Linked DNA regions of Arabidopsis thaliana. The protein of the gene in region 1 interacts with the protein of each later gene in a pairwise test. Each region holds a gene or a part of one and is shown on either strand. Other genes may lie near its edges.

Region 1 (4,364 bases):
CCACGTCAACCGAAATTAATGATTTGGTGTTCTATTTGCAATATTCACGTAAGCTCACGTAATTCATACGTTTTTGTTTGTCTTGCTAACTTTAGCTTCATCTCATTTATATACGCTGATATTGATTGCTATTTATCAAATATGGAGAAATGTGTTTAACTTTTAACATGATTTTTAGGATATTATTGTCGTTGATATATATATCCTTCACATCATTAATTATTATTATGGATGTGAAAATACTATAGAAAAGCTATTAAAACCCCAATCTTTGTTCATGAGACAACAAAATTCTGGAGTCGGTGAAGTAGACATGACTTAATGGATTCTAAGTTTGTCCGATTTCTCCTTTGTTCCCATGTGATGTCTTAAGATAAAATGATCATCATCACACTTTCTTTTTCTCTTACTCCTTTGTTTCGATTCATAAGGATATATTGCTTTCGTCCACTTCTAATATTCTTATATCACTTTATTTAAAAGACAATGTACAATTTAATAAAATTAATAATTTGATGAATGTTATTGATTCATATAGATATTTAAAATGTATTTGAAAAAGGGGTACAAATCTTATTGTGAATGGATAATTAATTAAGTTGCATACTTCAAAAGACAATCATGTGGATACTTTTTTATTATTAGTTTTATGGATTTGAAATTCTGAAAAATACTCGTCTCAATTATTCTTAGAACATTAAGTTTGACCTAAAAGAATGGTTTGACTAGTAATATGGGAATTATATAGGTGCCCCTTTTCACAGATGATGCATCCGAATAACAAAATCATATTACTTCTTATATCCTACCGTCCATATTAATTATATTAGATTACACATTTAAATATAATATATACATCATTAGATCTAATATAGAAAATCTTATTAAAAAAAAATCCTTATATAAAGAAAAATCACAAGGTTAACACAACCTTATCGATAAATAAAGATGTTAAAACTGATTTTTATATATGAAGCAAAAGTAAATTAGGGCTTAGTGATGTCTAGTTAAAGTACTTGTGTTTTGAAAAGGTAATGAGTCATGACTCAACAAGGTACACAAGGCGTGCATCGGGTAAACCACAACCTTTTGTAATTGTCGATATAACAGCATGCCAATATTCACATGGACCATATACTGTGTGTATATTATATATTACCATATATGTGAGTTACATTTCATATTGTAGAACCAAGGACTAAATTTAAACATAATGTACCATATTCTTTTAATTAGATTATTCATAAGATATCCAATTTAAAAGATGAGTTAAAATGATCAAGAAAACGCTACGCTGAACTCTAAAGTCTAATCTTTATCATTTATAGAAGTGTTATGAAACAAATCAATACCTGGTTAATAATTGATGTAGTTTCATTTTTTTTTTTAAGAAAAGAAAGTGATGAAGTGTTTAACTAGTCATAATATTATAGATCCAACTTCATTTCAATATATCACGAGTGCATTGGCGGCTGCAAAACATATTTTTGAAAAGAGCAAAAAAAAAAATCAAGGATCATAAATAATATAGGTCTTGGCTTTTTAATTCTACCAATAGATTTACAGTGGACAATTAAAGAAAAAAAATCACGAAATTATCATGGTTTGGCTAATTGAGATAAAATTCATACGTTTTCCATCAATAATCGTACATCATCCATTTCACAACAATAATTATTCCTAAAATGTCGTTATTTTCATAACATTGGTTAGATGTTCTAATAAGCTACTATTATATATAACTTCACGTCAATGTATGTTTGATTTTGGCATCTAAAATTTCTGTAAAATTTAGATATTCGCGTATACTTTTTTTGGGATTTTCTTCTTAGCCGTATTATAACTGCAACTCATATCACATACGTGGATGATAAAATATTCGAGTTTAATATCTCCTCCGTATGTAGATTTGATATGATCCATAATATTAAAGATGAAAATGAACTTGACTGATTATTCAGCGCATTCATTTTATTTTCCCTTCGAGGATAGCGAAATCCGCCACGTGGCATTACTACATCCATTGCTTTTTTTAACATAAATACTTAAGTCGCAATTCTTCTAAATTTTGGAGGCTTATGATATTGGTAGGGTTCTCATATTCACTTCCAAAAGCATCTTCTTCTTTCTAATTTTCTTTTTCTTTTTATCTTATTTTCATTTTATTCATATACTTTTTGAAAAGAAAAGTCGAATCACATACTTTCTTCTCTCTATTTCTCATTCTCTCTTCTTCATCATATTACTCATTTTATAGAACAGCAAAACCCTAGATTTCCTGTTCAAGCTCAAGACCGTACAAAACTTTGGAACTCATGTAAGAAACAGTACACGTTTTTTTTTTTGTTTCTTCTTCAGTCCGGATTATAAGAATTTTGTCGATTGAAGAAAACAGGCTAAATTAAACCCTAATTTTCTCTCTTAGACAATTCCTACTTTCTCTCCATTTTTCTGGATTCGCTCTCGTTTTAAAAGGATTCAGAAATTAACTATATTATTTGAATTCTTTTGCCATAATTCCCTTATGTTTTCTGCTAATGGATATACATTTGGTCTTCTTTCTGTATTAGATATAAAGATCTCGAGAATAGCATTATGAATATCGTCTCTTGGAAAGATGCAAACGACGAAGTTGCAGGCGGCGCTACGACAAGACGTGAAAGAGAAGTAAAAGAGGATCAAGAAGAAACCGAAGTCAGAGCCACCAGTGGCAAAACCGTAATTAAAAAGCAGCCTACATCGATCTCTTCTTCTTCTTCTTCGTGGATGAAATCCAAGGATCCGAGGATTGTTAGGGTTTCACGCGCCTTTGGAGGCAAAGACCGTCACAGCAAAGTGTGTACGTTACGTGGACTACGTGACAGACGCGTGAGATTATCAGTCCCAACGGCTATTCAGCTCTACGATCTTCAAGAACGGCTCGGTGTTGACCAGCCTAGCAAAGCCGTTGACTGGTTGCTTGATGCAGCTAAAGAGGAGATCGACGAGCTACCTCCGTTACCTATCTCGCCGGAAAATTTCAGCATCTTCAACCATCATCAGTCCTTCTTGAATCTTGGTCAACGGCCCGGTCAAGATCCGACCCAACTCGGGTTTAAAATCAATGGATGTGTACAAAAGTCTACTACTACTAGCCGCGAAGAAAACGATAGAGAGAAAGGAGAAAACGATGTCGTTTACACAAACAATCATCATGTTGGGTCTTATGGAACTTATCACAACCTGGAACATCATCATCATCATCACCAACATTTGAGTTTACAGGCAGATTATCATAGTCATCAACTACATAGTCTTGTCCCATTTCCATCACAAATTTTGGTATGTCCAATGACGACATCACCAACAACTACAACTATACAATCTTTGTTTCCATCATCATCGTCAGCTGGTTCAGGGACTATGGAGACATTAGATCCGAGGCAAATGGTAAGCCATTTTCAAATGCCATTAATGGGTAATTCTTCATCTTCGTCTTCCCAAAACATTTCGACATTATATTCGTTGTTACATGGTAGTAGTAGCAACAATGGTGGTAGAGACATTGATAATCGGATGTCGTCGGTCCAATTCAACCGAACTAATAGCACTACAACGGCTAACATGTCGAGGCATCTAGGCTCGGAGCGTTGTACAAGTAGAGGAAGTGATCACCATATGTGAAGTTAGATTATTGAAACGATATAATTGTTGTTTGATGTGTTCAGAAATAAGGGGACACAAAACAAAATATAAGGTAATTACTATTGTACTATGTTTTGCTGATATATTTTTTAATAGACAAATTAATGTTATAAATTGATTTATTAATTTACTATTAGCATGTGTTTTGAAACTTTCTCATGTATATATATATATATAGCTTCCTCATAGGATCTGAATACACACAAACATACATGAAATGTATTATAAGTATCTGATAGTAATGTATGCACTTTGAGATGAGAAGCTAAATTACATTCAGATTCATCAAATATTTAGCAAAAAAAAAAATCAGATTCATCAATAGGTAACGTAATAATATGAAATTGAATCTAATAATTTATACTGATCTGTTATCGAGGTATTATGTTTCTATTGGATGCACGGTACAATGCAACTATAGAACTCAATGTGACCGTAGCTAGATAGATTATTAGATGATGATATAAGTGGAGATTCCACAAAACCCAAACAAACCTAACATTACTATGTCATGTGAAGCAGATATATATTGAACCCATTATCAAATAGAAATTCATCATGAATGGTTATTATACATACAAGTGCCCATTTTAAAATCTTATTAGCATAGTAAGTAAACTATCAAGATGCAAAGAAGCCATTCCCATATAAAAATTAAGATGTGTAGCTAGGCTAAATGG
Region 2 (3,483 bases), on another chromosome or scaffold:
CTCTTATGTATCACAGGCTCACGTGAACACGAAAGCCACATTCACATTTTTCTCCAAAATATTTCTTGAAAATGATTATTAGTACTGTAGTAGCTTATATAGCTTTGGGGTATCTCTCTTTTTTTTACTGTGCTTATAGGTAGGGTTAATTTAAATAATTAGATATGTCAGAGAGAGAGAAGTCAGACATCAGAGTTCGCACGTGTATAAATTTTGTTAGATATGGACCAATGCATTTGTTCAATCAAAACGACAGACCCTAAGCCTTGTCACGTGAAAGGAAACACAGATTTTTTTATTTATTTTTAAATAACCCTAAAACCAAACAAAAACATCTTACAAAATGTCAAGAAATAGAGAAGTTAAAAGACAAATTAATCTAATAAAACTTCAGTTGATAAAACAAAAACAAAAAACCTCTAACTAATTTGTTTTAATTCATTGTCTATTACTGAAAATTATAAGCCACTTCAATTGCTATAAATTTTTGACTCCTATGATTACTATATATTTTACACAATATAAAGACTTAAACTACGTCACTTTTTAGAGGGAAAAGAAAGAGCCTATGTAATCTACTCTATTAGTATAGACTAGAGAGTATAGTAAGTTTGCATAAGATGGGCTAATGAATTTTGGACAAAAAGAAAAACAAAATCAGTCAGAGCTAAAGATAGAGTAGTTGTGTCAAGTAACTTTATTTAATGATCTCCTTGTAGCCTTGTCCTCGTGCATCATAAATATATATGGGTGCCAATAAAACCCCAAAAGAGAGCATTTAAATACTTGTCAAATAATAGAGTGAAAGATACAAAAGATAGAGAGAGATGGCTATTATCAGTACTAGGGATTACGTCAGCATCCCTATGCCACAGGTTCAGTCAAAGAGGCGGCCCATTTTTCTTTCCTCTTCGTAAATGTACAAGATTATTTATTTTTAGTTCTTTTTTCTTTGATCATTTTGTATCAATGGTTGCTGTGAGAAAAAGCATCGAGATTGTTACGATCGAAAACAAAGTACTTGAATTATGAAAAAATGTTTGGAGAGCCTATGCAAAAATGATCTTTCTATCTTCTTTTTATAATAGCATAAATTTCATAGTATGGCATTATCGTCACTAGCAAGTAATGAGTTAATTTACCATAAGTTACAACGGTAATGAGGTTGTTTGGAGAGTAGAACTAAAATATTTTATTTCTAACCATTACCTAACAAATCTTTTTTATATAACAGAAGTTGTAAATGGTAGATAAGAAAACAGTATTAGCACTCAAAGGAATGATTAGCATTGTTTTCTTTCATGTCCTAGAATAAGTCCACTCACCACTAGAAGTATTCACTTTATGAGAAATCCTATTGTATTTTTTCAAATACATCAACTTATTAAAACAACATTATTTTGGTGTAGAACACCCACGTGTAACAATCTCTCAGCATACCACCGTCACATCACCCAACAGCAAAAGATCGAACGGTGCTTGATTCTTGCAAACCCCAGAGAAAACCTCGATCCTAGAAATCAAACACTATTCAGTTTTGTTTTTACTATTAACTTGCCATATATATTACGTATAGGCAACAAATAAAGATAGATAATCGTCAAAAGAAGCCGAGGATTACGGGTGTTCTCAAGCGGCCCTACAAACACACCTCTTGCTCTTTAAACTCACTCACTCTCTCTCTCATTTGGGTCAAACGAGCCAACAAAGCAAAACCTCTTTCTTCTCTTCTCCACTTTCTCTCTAGATTCTCTCATATTTCCCCTCTTGAGAGTCTAACAATGGCGTCAACGACGTGTGCAAGAGAGGTGCATTACAGAGGAGTCAGAAAGAGACCTTGGGGTCGCTACGCTGCTGAGATACGAGATCCTTGGAAGAAAACTAGGGTTTGGTTAGGCACTTTCGACACTCCCGAAGAAGCTGCTCTTGCTTACGACGGCGCTGCTCGTTTCCTCCGTGGTATCAAAGCCAAAACTAACTTCCCTTCTCCTCTCTCTCTCGACCTCAACCACCTCCCTTCCGCTCCCTCAGCCGCAACCGCCGCCGCAAATAACCAACCCCACCAACACCAACAGCTCTGGTTCGCTGCGCCTCCTCCTGTTCCTCCAAGCTCCGACCATCATCACCAACACCACCGCATTTTTCTCCGAACCGGTGTGCTAAACGACAAAACTTCAGATTACTCTTCTACAGAAGCGCCGCTTTACTTCACCTCCTCGCCTAACACAGCCACGTCATCGCCTGGTTATCAAGTGGTTGGGTTTCCGATGATGAATTCTTCTCCTTCCCCTGTTACGGTGAGACGTGGCTTAGCCATTGACCTCAACGAGCCTCCGCCGCTTTGGCTTTGAAAACAAACGATAAAGATGGATATAGCGGCGCCGTTTTGCCTACTTTTCTATACGGCGCCGTTTGAGACCACTTTCGGTGGAACTACTTTAGTTTCTTTTTTTAGCAAATAGTATCTTTTTGTTAGAGTTAGTAGACTTGTTTTTATAATTTAATCCTTCTTTTGTTCGTTATGTAAGAGTCGGAGATCGATTGTTGTTGTGAGATCCATATGTTGCGGAAAAAACAAGAAACTTCTTAATTAGCAACACAAAAACTTAACAACGTCTGAACGTGGATCTAATTATGTTTGTGGATCGTGTTACGACCGTCGCTTATGTCGGTTTCGAGGGGGTTTTAAAAATCTTATCGTATTCTATGGCGTGTCGTGAAGTACGGACTGACTTGTGCAGCTGTTTGCTTTGCTAGTGTCCTGTTTGACTCACGCGCCTCTCTCTTAAATCACGACAAAAGACGGACTGAGAAAAGAAGGAAACAAACAAAAGAGATAGAGACTAATGAGAGACGTAAATGCTGAGCAAGCGTGTGAGTTTGGACTGGCTTATTCACTTACGGACAAGATATGTGTATTATGAGTCTTGAGTTTGTAAATAAATTGTATTTTTTTATTTATTTTGAAAATTTTCATATGAATTCGAACAAAAGTTTTCTGATAAAATTAGAGGAAGTTTAATTGTCCTATAATTTTTCTGCTCATGTTTACCAATCTTATATATGTTATGCGTGTATACATATATATATAGAAGCATCTAAAAATATAAAATAAATAAAATTTTTGACGGTCCTATATAGATAAATATCAAATTCACATAACAAATTTATCTACAGAAGTCTTAAAATAACGCAAATTTCAGTAGTAAATGAAACAAACATGTTTGATATAATCAAATATCATAAGAAGTCAAATTAATTAACTAAAGGAGATCTCACGTAGCGAAATCAAAACTTTCATGCAGATTGTGAAGATTTTATGTTTATGTTTTATATGTAGAACCGGAATCGTGTAGTTTTATGAGACTATAAAACAGTCATAGAACTGTTACATGTGTTAGACACTTAGACATATGTATTGACTAAACAAAGATCATGCATTATGCATATTGCTTTCATAAAAGATCAAATTCTAACAGTTTC
Region 3 (5,003 bases), about 17 Mb from region 1:
TTGTATAATTTATACATTCAATGATATATTATATAGTCTGCATTCACATTTATTTTTATTTGTTTTCTGTCTTCATCCTTTTTGTAAAAACTTATATTTAACCCATGCGAAAACAGATTTTTAAAACTTCAGATTATTTATCTTGATTCTTGAATATATGACCGATCGATGTTGAGTGAATATTTTCTTTCACAACATAATAATAGATTTTATAAAGTAAATTATGTTCTAATTAAACACTATCAATTTACAAATTGTTAATATTACTTTCTAAAGGCATACAAACACAAAAAGAATATACTGAAACAATCAAATATTTTTGGTGTACTTCGTCAAAAAAAAAGAAACAAAATTTTGAGCCATAACTTTGTACGCGACATTCAAACTATATCACTTTCTAATTAATTCTCATAGTCTAAACTAGTCTTGATATAATATTATCATCATATACAAAACCAGTTTTAACAATATCATGATATAATAGTATTAGATATCTCATCATATACAAAATCAGATTGATTGTTTAGTGGGGACAAACGACAAAGAAACAGAGATAAAATGAATCATATACTAAAAAAAGCATTTAATATATTTCATAGCATATAAGATCAAACGAGATATTTTTATGTTTTTTGTATCGTTTTCGTTCGACCATGTAAAACAAACGAGACACTTTGCTGTTTTCTATTAGCTTTGAAACAACTACTTCAAGGGCCAAATATAACAGAGATTGGTGGGCCAATAGAGAGAGGCCCATCTCATTCCTTGATAAAATAGTTTCTCAATTTTTTTTGTATTAACACTTAAAAAAACGTAATGTTACTAAAAAAACAGTAAGATTATACTTTGATGTATATGTTACTATTATTACTATAGGAACCAACATTGTTTGACGAATACTTTTTAGAATTTTTCTTTATGTATAATTAATTTCTTAATGGATAAAGAAAACGAAGATGATTGAGAATCGAGACGACAGTGACACTATCAGAAGAAGAAAAAAAACAATTAAAAACAATAATGATAAAAAAAAGTGTCATATTCTCCTCAAAATCCAAAAAACCTGACATAAAAAATCTCGTGTACTATTTAATCACTCACTCACAAGAAAAATCAAATTTAAAATCAAGTAAAAAAATCAAAATTAAAAAGAAAATCTCACGTGTTTTTTTTTTTTTTTTTACTTAGCAAAAAAAATTACTACAGAAAATAAAAAAAATTAACGGTGAAAACAAAAGTTTTACACAGCCGCCGAACGCCGTCACCGCTACCGCCGTCGGCAGAAAATCCCACCGTTAAAATGTTTTTGTGTGTGTCTAATCTTGCTGATCCTCCTCATCACCACCTCCAAGTGATCCACTAGCTTGAGAGTCGCCGGAAACTTGCCGTCCGTACTGGTTCAAGCCGGAGAGAATATTATGATGATGTTGTTGTTGATGATGATGATGTCTCTGTGTATTATGATGATCACCACCACCGTCACTTCTTCCTCCTTCATTATTATTACTATCTTCATTAATCTCATGATTACTAGTTGTTGCTAGCTGTTGTTGTCCAGTAAGAAATGCCATTGGCGCTGCGAAATTCATAAAATGTAAACCGCTAGAAACCGCGCCGCTTGGAACGCCCGAAACGCCACTTCTATATAACGCTGCCGCTGCCGTGTTAATGGAAGGAAACGTCCAAACAGGCTCTCCACCGCCGCCACCAGTACCAATAGAAGCTGTCATAAGACCACCTGTTTGGTTGTTATTACCACCACCACCACCTGCAGCCGCAGCCGCCGCAACCATCCAGAAATTTCCCGGTATTTGTTGCGCGGCGGCTGCGGTGGCTGTAGATCCACTGTTGCTAGATTGAAGTGTATATCCTCCGATTTGATCATGTTGGTGTTGTTGTTGTTGTTGATGCAAATCCGACGTCGTTTGGATTCTTCTTTTCTTCTCCGAGTTTAACTCTTCAGAATCTTGATCTCCTTCTTGCTTTGTTGGATTATGAAAGTTCAAAAACGACGTCGTTGGTGTGAAGTTATCAATACCAGGAAACAAAGACGACGTAGGTGCACGTCCCTGTAGATGGGGATGATGAAACCCAACACCACCACCACGTTGTTGTTGTTGTTGTTGTTGAAGCATCGCCGGAGAAAATATGTTATTAGGGCTAAAAGTGGAAGCGGCGGAGCGGAAATGAGAAGGAAGAGACATGGAAGAGCCTGAAGAACGGAGAGAGATGTTTAAAGAAGTGAAATTCGCCGGGATTGTTCCGGTTCCGGTGGCGGCGATTACAGATGGTTCAGCTTGTTGAAGAAGCCACTCTATTGTCTCACCGTCGGATTTATGACCTAGCTCTCGCGTTAGCTGAAAAACCCTAGCTGCACATAACGCCGGCATCCTTATTCTCCTCCCTCTTCCGTCTACTTTCGTGTGTCGGTCTTTCGTCGACGCTCGTTTCAACGGTGGCTTTTTAGCTGCCACCACCGCAGATTCCTCTTGCGTTTGTAATAACTCTTTTTGCGTTGTCTGCGGTTGTGACTTTTGCGATTGCGATTGAGGTTGCGATTGAGATAATTGTTGGTGTTGATGGAGAGAAAATAGAGAGGAGGAGGAGGAAGGGGAAGGTTGTTGTTGATGGTTGTCGTCGGGGTCGTGTTTTCCGAGTAGTTGAAAAGGGAAAGTAGGGCGGTGGTGATGGTGGAGGTGACGGTGGTGATCATCTCCTCCTCCTCCTCCGACGCTGTCTCCACCGTCCATTATGACATTTAAGATACTTGATGTTGGCTTTTGCATATATAAGTGGGGAGCTATAACTATTTTATATATATTTTATAAATTAGGGTTTTTGGTTTTTTATTTATATGTGATGTTTTCGACAAGAGGGGAAAAAAAATAAAGTGTATAAGTCTGAAGGAATTGATTGAGAAAGAGAGGATAAGAAAGAGAGAGACAATGGAGAAGAAAAGCTTAAAGAAACAAAGATCATGAGTGAGAATTATATGGGTGAGCTTTACATAACATTAAAAAATTAAAAGAAAAATCTCATTACATATCTTTTTTTTTTCAAATGAAAATACTGTTCATTGCTTCTTTATGAAAATTACTTAAAATCATATACTTAGAGAAATGTCAACAATGGGAATATCATTTAATAGTTGAAGAAAAGAAAGTGTCATTTAATCAACGCAAAAATGAATTGATGTAATTAGCCAATGTGAATATTTCAACGTTAATTTCTGCTCAATCAAAATCAGTCTGTTATAGTTAACTTAATCCGAATTATATCAAATTATTTTTCACGTTAATTATTTTCTCAGATAAGCATTTAGTCAACTTTTTAAAACAGTAAAAAAAAAAAAAGGTTTAAACAAAATAAATCTGTCCATAATCAAAAGATTTCGGTATATCTTTCATTATATTCTTTTCTCGATGTAGATTTACTCATCAATCAAATGAAAAAAAAAACACCCACCGTAAAAAAGGGCTACAATATTCACCGTACAACGAAAATACTTTTCACGACTAGTTAAAAATGGAAAAATCTGAACGTTGCGTTAATAAATGAGATGAAAAAATGTACAATGTGGAGTCTTTAATATATAGTAAATGTAAGAAAAATATGTCATATATGTGAAGGGGATATGGTTGGAGAGAGTCGTTGTGGCAGCAGAGTCCACGTGAGGTGTCCTCTTTTATCATTCATTCCATAAAGACAATGGAGAGGTCGACGAGAGAGTGATGGGGCCAACACTCCTCTCCAAATTAAACAACTCAATTTGGTCAAAAATTTAGTAATTTATTTCAAAACGTTTTGGGTCCTACATCATTCACGTAATCATTCTTCCCCTGCTACTTTTGCCGGAAACTAGAAACATTATCATTGTTATTCACAATTTTAAACCCAAGCATTATTCGTTTTTATTTAATCAGATAGCAAATCTCTATACAAAAAAAGTGAAGAACTATGGTATGTAACACCACTGCCCAAAAGTTGATTTATGTATGTTATCAAATAAATAGGGTTTTTCAAAAAAAAAAGAAAAAACTAAAAGTATGAATAAAATGAGACTTTTAGCATTTTAACCAACCTCTCTGTTTTTCTATTATAAATGTCTATTTTTGTTTTTTCAAAGTAAAAGAACTACTTATTAAGGCTTTGAAATATTGTAAACTAAACTCTATTAATAATACATATGGAAACTATGACTATTTTGATAAAAATAAAAATATATGATCATAGATGTCATATATATAAATATATATATATATGTTAATGAATGTATTTGATGAAGAATTTTTGTAAATAACATATGATATGTGATATGTGTTATTATTCGAAGAAATGATATAGTTTAATATTACGTACACATATTACAAACTGTTTCGACGTATTACATATTTGTTGTTTAAATAAGCACCATAAACGTATATTTAAAATAAAGAAGCAAAAGTTTCAACAACAATTAAGATTATAAAAAGAGCATAAAGAATCGAAAGTATGGTAGAGTAAATGTGGATGATGATGATAGCTTTGGGATTCCCTCTCTTGTTATAAAATATAAAACTTTGATAAATATGCATGATTATATATGATGATGGTACTTGCTTTCGTTTCGTCTATTGGGGTCTTAATTAAATGCTTAATTAGGATTTAATTAAAAATATCTGGCACTATAGCTAGGGCTCAACCTTGAATAATTACTTCTTTTAGTTTAATAACTTAAACCAATTCACTAATCAATTGGTTTTGTACTATAAATTAATTATTGTAGATTGCAGTCTACTCCCACCTAGGACGGAATCAAATGGATTGTTCATATTCATAAATGTAAAATGACAGAAACACAAGTGGTCGGTCTAAATTATAAATATTACTTACCATGAGTCCTGTAAATTATAATTATTCCTTTATGTAAGAAATAATTAACACCCCCAATAGTCACATACGTACTTGCATTGTAATGAATAAATTATTGTTGGAAGATTGAATCTAACATTTTAAGTATCATT

Evidence for each region. Proteins that work in one complex are often made in the same cells at the same time.
Region 2: the proteins of PTF1 (region 1) and ERF12 interact in binary tests that used the Arabidopsis thaliana proteins (3 or more experiments, as listed by UniProt).
Region 3: the proteins of PTF1 (region 1) and TCP14 interact in binary tests that used the Arabidopsis thaliana proteins (3 or more experiments, as listed by UniProt).

What each region holds. Positions count from the first base shown.
Region 1 is NC_003074.8:388,927-393,290, forward strand, and holds PTF1 (plastid transcription factor 1), read left to right. Parts: upstream 1-1,793; 5' UTR 1,794-2,317; intron 2,318-2,570; 5' UTR 2,571-2,595; coding exon 2,596-3,663; 3' UTR 3,664-3,841; downstream 3,842-4,364. UniProt on the Arabidopsis thaliana protein: Plays a pivotal role in the control of morphogenesis of shoot organs by negatively regulating the expression of boundary-specific genes such as CUC genes, probably through the induction of miRNA (e.g. miR164).
Region 2 is NC_003070.9:9,950,153-9,953,635, forward strand, and holds ERF12 (ERF domain protein 12), read left to right. Parts: upstream 1-1,609; 5' UTR 1,610-1,781; coding exon 1,782-2,351; 3' UTR 2,352-2,953; downstream 2,954-3,483.
Region 3 is NC_003074.8:17,556,787-17,561,789, reverse strand, and holds TCP14 (TEOSINTE BRANCHED, cycloidea and PCF (TCP) 14), read right to left. Parts: upstream 2,998-5,003; 5' UTR 2,787-2,997; coding exon 1,317-2,786; 3' UTR 531-1,316; downstream 1-530. UniProt on the Arabidopsis thaliana protein: Transcription factor involved the regulation of plant development. Binds to the Up1 elements (5'-GGCCCAWW-3') in early light-induced proteins (ELIPs, e.g.